Linked DNA regions of Tribolium castaneum. The protein of the gene in region 2 interacts with the protein of the main gene of each other region in a biochemical or structural test. Links are inferred from orthologs where the notes say so. Each region holds a gene or a part of one and is shown on either strand. Other genes may lie near its edges.

What was found.
Region 1: the proteins of Sirt1 (region 2) and active regulator of SIRT1 form a complex in vitro, tested with the Homo sapiens proteins (2 studies listed by BioGRID and IntAct). The link is inferred for Tribolium castaneum from reciprocal best matches to the Homo sapiens genes SIRT1 and RPS19BP1.

What each region holds. Positions count from the first base shown.
Region 1 is NC_087394.1:22,070,768-22,073,923, reverse strand, and holds active regulator of SIRT1, read left to right. Parts: upstream 1-1,683; 5' UTR 1,684-1,768; coding exon 1,769-1,835; intron 1,836-1,883; coding exon 1,884-1,976; intron 1,977-2,033; coding exon 2,034-2,191; intron 2,192-2,244; coding exon 2,245-2,364; 3' UTR 2,365-2,642; downstream 2,643-3,156. Other genes in the region: uncharacterized protein LOC135265385, read right to left, coding at 1-540, 594-785, 847-979, 1,032-1,371; vir (protein virilizer), read right to left, coding at 2,774-2,816, 2,865-3,126. UniProt on the Homo sapiens protein: Part of the small subunit (SSU) processome, first precursor of the small eukaryotic ribosomal subunit.
Region 2 is NC_087394.1:11,919,883-11,923,718, reverse strand, and holds part of Sirt1 (NAD-dependent protein deacetylase sirtuin-1), read right to left. Parts: intron 2,923-3,836; coding exon 2,642-2,922; intron 2,472-2,641; coding exon 2,276-2,471; intron 2,222-2,275; coding exon 1,993-2,221; intron 1-1,992. UniProt on the Homo sapiens protein: NAD-dependent protein deacetylase that links transcriptional regulation directly to intracellular energetics and participates in the coordination of several separated cellular functions such as cell cycle, response to DNA damage, metabolism, apoptosis and autophagy.

The DNA.
Region 1 (3,156 bases), about 10 Mb from region 2:
ATTGTCGTCATAAACTGTTTATATAAAATTTCATATATTACATGGACAAATGTTAAAATAATATTAGAAACTGTGCTTTGGGCAACCCCAAAGCGTTGCGCCAAATCAAGTTGAGGGAAATTGAGTCGTAATTTTACTAGGGTTAAAAAGAGTTGGTCAATTCTAGTTAACTTTTGGACTGTCCATTTGTGGTAATATTTTATGTCCAACTTTTCGATTAAGTGAAACAATGCTTCGAAAATCTGGCTATTGGGAAGACCGGTATATAAAACAATGAGTTTGTCATTTCCTTGAACATTTTCATAGCAAAATCGTACTGTCAGATATTGTATTTTTGCTTTAAGTTCAGCATTTTCCTTTTTGAGAAAATACATTTCTGCTTCAAGAGCCGCATGTGACACCAAGGGTGCTTGCACACCCATAGATTCTAACGGAGCATCTTGAATTATATCTGCTGGTGCTGCAACTACGGCTGTAGACGTCGATGGCACTTCCTCTAAATTCATTGTCGATGGTACTGTTTCTTCCGGTATATCAACACTATTCAAATGATCAAATTGTAAATCAATTTAAAACTAGGATTCACTTTTTACCTTAATGATTCAGCGGAACTAGAACAAGAAGGGAGTCCTTGTTTTTTCATCTTTTTTTTTTCTGGAGATTCCACTTGAAAATAGGCTCTTTTTGCGATATTGTGCAAAAATAATTCAGGACCATTTTCCTTTCTTCCATCCCGAAAATGGCAGCTGCAAACGTAGGCTCCTGGTCCGGGTTCTACATCTCTTCTACATTTAACAATGAAACAAGCAATTAAAAATTAATATCAAAACATCTATTAAAAATTACCTCAACAATTTTTTCCATAGTGCTCGTTCTTTTCCCGACTTAGGAAAACTAAAAAAATGGCATTTATCGCGAGTACTATAGTGTTTGCAATCTGGAGCCCAACACATTCCCATAGTTGTGATGTAAAAACCTACTACACATGAACTATCAAAGTATCGCAACAAAATATTATTCACAAATCATACCTAATGATGTACCACAAAAATGAGATAATGTCTTGGAAAAACAGAATTTTAAAAATTCAAGAACACGAAGATATGGAGAACGATCGGAAAAAACACGATAACAAAAGACACTCACGAAAGAAGCACAGAACTCACAACCCGTACTACTTTCAACCATGTATGTGCCTGAACCCTCTACCCTCGTATACCTGCTATTCATCCCTCGTGATGGGGGAGGGGGACAGAAAACAACCCGTTTATTGGGGTTGCGCCGGTTGCACCCCATGAATTCGTCATTCAGAAGAAATCCAATGTCATTAGTGTGGCAAACCATTTTTCCCTCAGTTTTAAAAGGCCACATAATAATTTACATCAATATGATGTCCAAATTAAGAAAAACTGAATTTTGAAGTTTGAAAAAAGTTAGGTTAGAAAAGGATTTATGTGTTCAACTTACAGAAATATTAGCTCAGTTGCTAAAATCTTTAAGAAACGACATTGCATTTTTCATAGCTATCATTTCTCTGTAAAAGTAATGTTCCTACACTTCTAGCATTAAAGAAATACGAAAAACTTTTAAATGCCCATAAGAAAAGCATTGAAAATGGCGATTGTTTAGCTTTAAGGTGCTGACCTACCTCAAATGTCTACGTCACACTGATAGCGCGTATTCTGATTGTCAGAACCGACATAACCTCTACAAAAAGTTCTCCAAGAAAAATTTGAGGAAATGAGTTATTTGAGTTGTTTTAATTGAAATGTCTTCCGCCTTGGTTCAGAAAGCTTTAGAAATTGTAGATCCTGATTTTAGGAAACAAGCTAAAGGTAAAACCTTGCATCTTTTGTTTTATTTTTTTTTACTTTACATTTTAGTTAAAAAGTCGAAGAATAATACAAAAGATGTGTTCAACTTGATACCCGATAAACTAAAAATAACGAAAAATATTAGTAGAAAAGGACGCAAAGGTATAATCACATGATAAAACTGTGTTGTTGACACCATGTATTTTTTTTCAATTTTAGAAAAAACAGGAGTTTTGTCAACTTCAAAGAAACTAACAGTTTTAGAAGCGAAGAAAACTTTTAAGAGCAAGGACGAGATTTTGAAGGAAAATTTGAAAAAGCTTAAAGAAATCAAAAATGTTTGCACTATTGAACTTGATAAAGAAACTACAGAAAAGGTGCAATCCTTCTTACCATATGAAATGTTTATTTAAATATACTTTGTCTTTAGATAATTCAAAGGGCGGTCACTCGAAGGCCTGTGAAAGAAAAGAAAAAACGCAAGAAGACCCAAACAACTGTCTTCACTGAAGAAGATTTTAAGAAATTTGAAGAGGAATACACAGGGTAAAAATGGCAGTGTCAAATAAGGTTTATGGTATAACAATGCTAGGTTTGAGTGTCTTAAGTATTTTTTATATGTTTTTTATGTTAATAATTGTACCAATTTTGCCCCTTAATGAAGACAATATTTTAAGTTCGCTTTCACAAACACCAATTCTGTTAGTGAGTGGAATTTGTGGCCTGATTTTTTGTGGTGGTTTATCAGTTTTTACTGTTTTTGTAATGATGAAAGGAAAATGGAGACTCTTGTGGACAAACAGAAAATAAATAAAGTACAAATTGTAACTAATTTTCTAATTTACATACCTACCGACTGTGCCAAAAAAAAATTGAGGATACGTTCAAATGAAAAAACAAATAATCACAGAAATCAAATGTATTGGAACATTAATAAATACATAAAACAGTACACTTAATTACTGATAGGGGCTCCGGGAGAGGCTCATACCCCACCAAGACCTAAAAAAATAGTCTATCTACATATTGTTTCGAACACAGAAAACTTACATTTGTCTGCAATGTACTGACCGCTCCGATGTAACGAAAGCTCTCCCTCTACTGCCCCGCGCAATCCTAGTCGATGCCAAAAGCTCCCTACTGAACTTATTATACCCTGTCGGCCCAGTTGGCTGTGCCCCACATGTCTCTAAAGCCACAAAATCATCCACATGTAACGAGGGTGGTCTTGAAGTATTCGGCGGCCTTGAACGGAACAAATCCGACCTCTGCTGAATAGTTCTTGGGAAACCACGCGACCTAACCGGAGTAACTAAAAAACACCATTAAACCAAAACCTAAA
Region 2 (3,836 bases):
GTTCAGAGAATTTCGAGCACTTTTTAAACAGATACTAAGCCAAGTTCATGAAATTTTGCCAAAACAAACCAGCTCTCCATAATTATGAGTGGAAACAATGGTATTTCGGCAAACTTTAAGCTCAATTCTTGGGCATGTCAAGTCATTTAGTTGTAATTTGAGCCAAAAACATAATTTACCAAAATATTTTGGCGACGGAAACCAAAACATTGTCGTGTTAAGACAAAATAACGCTATATCTAATAAAAAGATGTTTTAAAATGTCTAAACAAAAAACACTCTATTATTATATAATTTCAATTTATTCACGAAATTAGTTGAAAAAAATAAAGATACTTTTTGGCTTACTATAACAGAGGACTAACTGAAAGATTAAGCTCGTTCTTGTACCAGAAACTCACTTATTCGGAAAAAAAATTATAAATCGAATAAATCAGCCAAAAAATTGCTGTTTTGGGCCAGAAAAATGCTAATTCAACCTCTTCCAGGCTGTTGAACTCATTTTAAAACAAGTTTTCTTCTAAAAATTTCCACGAAATTGAAAACAGACCAAGAAACCGGTAGATAATATTTTTTTATTCTATTATTCAGAAACTCACTTAATTCAAGAAATTTTGGCGAAATCTGACAGACAATATTCAGTTTAGGTCAGAATAATGATATTTCCGCCAATTCCAAACAATTTAGACAAATTTTCCTCTGAAAATTTCCGATAAATTGAGAGCAATCCCTATGGTATGTGTGTATCGGAGTAATTTATTATTCAAAAAAAAAACTCTGTTCAATATTGAACAGAAAATCTGTTTTAAATAAAACTTATGTAGATAAACACTTTCATTGCACAACAGATGGAAACCGTGATAAAAACTTCCTTGATTTCCGAAAAGTTGGAAATAGAAAGTTCGTAAATTTTGATTATAAAAATAAGAAAGCAAAATTTCGCCTTTTGTGAAACTGTTTAAAACATACAATTAACCGTATTTTTGTGGTATCTTGCCCACTTTTGCACCAGAAACTCACTTAGTTCAAAAAAATTGGCTAAATCTGCCCAATATTTGTTTTAAGTCAAAATAATGATACTTCAGACAATTTAAAAAATTGAACTCATTTTAAAACAAGTTTTCCTCTAATATGCCCAAAAACTTGGAAAACAGTCGCTGTAGTATGTGAGTAATGGATTCATTTATAAGTTTATTACTCAAAAAAAAATAACAGCAAAATATTTTAGGTGAAAATAATACTATTGATGCAAATTTTGAAGCATTAGCTCAATTTTGCACCATAAGCTCAATTAAAAATACTTGCTTTGAGACAGAGTAAGATTATTTCAGCCGCTTCCGAGCAATCTATGTCGTTTTCGAATAAAAAAAACTCCCTGAATTCAAGAGATTGGCAGAAACAAGTTGAAAAATTCATAGCCTTACTATAATAATACTATTACAGCCAATTCCAAATGACTTTGTTTATTTTTGTTTTGAAAACACTTATAAGCCCAAAGATCTCAGATTGGATCACAATTACGCTATTTCATCTTATGCTAACATGTCTTTAAACAAATAAAATTTAAATTTTAAATAAAAACTTATGCAATTAAACTCAAAAGAATCCCGGTAAAATGACATATATTGTAATTTCATAAAAATAATTTCGCTGTTATTTTCAGAACATTAGGAAGCTTACTATACGTATGAAAGCAAAGTTTTATCTGTTTATCTGTTTTGAAAATGTTTCAAAAATACATTTAGCAACGGTGAAATCAGTTGTACGTTTTGTTTTAGTTTAGACATTAATTCATAAATCACTTGCCTCAAACCAAATAAGTATTTAAATCACTGGTTAAAATAGTAAAAAAGTCATCTTTTTTAAACAAATTCCAGAGTAATAATATGATTCTGGCAATAAAATACTACACGTACGTTCCACAATTGAGGTAAGAAATTGGACAAACTGGTAAAAAATTAATAATTTAAAATATTATTTTCAAATCATTACCTGTGACAAGGACTTGGCGTGAATTTTCCTGGATATATATCTCGTGCGAATTTGAAGAAGGGCCGAGGGTCTTGACTGAAATAGCTGATATCAAACATTGCTTGCGGGTCTGGAAGATCTGGAAAATCTATCGCCAGTCGAACGTAAATCCCATCACGTGATCGAAAGTCTGGAATTCCACACGAAACAGACACTCCAGCGCCGGTTAAAACTATTATATTTTGTGCTCCTAAACCAAACTTCCGTCAAAAAACACCACTCATTTATGAATTAAATGACAAACCTTTAACCAATCGAACTACATCGTCCAAAGTATTAACATGTCGCAATTTGTTCCGTCGTGGCGGCTCGGCCAACATGTTTATAATTAATTTCCAGAGAGTTATTTCGTCTACATATTGCGGCACTTGATCCAGATCCACACCCAGATCGCTCAGCAGCGTTCGGGGATTCACGCCGTTTTGCATCTGTTTTTGAATCTGTTGCGGAAAATTATTTATTAGTTATTTATTATACAAGACGATAAAGAGTTTGTGTATTTGCAAAAAAAAAATTACAGTGCTATTAGATTTACTCAACAGAGTTGATAAAGAAATAGTTTAACAGCTACTACAGAAAAAAAAGATTGTTTATGGTAATTATATCGTACCCAAATCATGCTGCCAGCCATTGGTTTCCAATCTTGTCCAGAGAGGTCCGAAAGACCGCTTATTTCGCTAACTGTGGAGGCATTGTCATCGTCGGCTTCGATACTGTCCTGAGATGTGTCCGCTTGATCTGTTCGGGATGGTGTTAGAAATATTTCGGAAAGACTGGATAAACTCTCTGGGACATCGCCGGGGTCAGTGTGAGGTGAGGTCTGGTGTGAAGAAGTTGGAATTGATTCTAACGTGGATGCTTCATAACCGGAATCGCAATCAGGTGATATTCCTATCAAAAAAAAATGACGTTTACAATCCCATCGCTCAATTTTTTTATTTAATTTCGTTCTAAATGCTTTTGTCCGCTTAGTTTTTGTACGTAATGCATGTATTGTCGATTGTTTTACAGTCCCTATTATGAAAAACATGTTGGTTTTTTACTTTTCAGCCCAATATGTTATATCTTTTTTATTTTTAAAAAATGACATTAAAAAAAATAGTTACTGATTGATAATAATTAATAATCCATTTTCGTAAAAAAAAACAAAAAAAATAATGGTTTTTTTCATCCTGAAATGACTTTCAGGCAAAAGTGAGTATTCGATACCATTGTACTTTTTTTTTGGTTGGGATTTTCCAATTTTTACACACTTATAAATAACTTCCGCATGTCTAATCTTCTAGGGGAAAACTAAAATCGAATGAGTTTTACCAATCTCTAATCATATAACTTACTATGTATTTTATTTATCTGGTTTTCTAGCCTTACTAAATCATGAACATACAAAAAATTCTTGATATTCATTTGCTCTCCAATTTAAAAGTCAGGAAAAGTATTAGGTACGGGGTGGATTTGATAGTATTCCATACATTTTAGGGGTAATAGTAAAGCTCAAAAGAAGTTAAAATAACTCAACTTGCCTCATAGTTATAGTTTCTGAGATATAAATAATGCAGCCTCCACTTTAGTATCAAAATACTCGTCAAAAAATGCAATGTAAACGAAGTTTGCGTCTTTTGATTACTTTACTCCGAAATTGCCATGGCTAATAGTCGGTAACATTTGAGAAAATGAAATTCGATAAAGTAAAAAAATATAAAAAAAATTTAACATTATTTATTTATTTTTTGTGGAGTCATAACAAAATTAACAAAATATGCTTAAAGGAATGATAATATATTTTAAAGAACTTACTTCAAAGA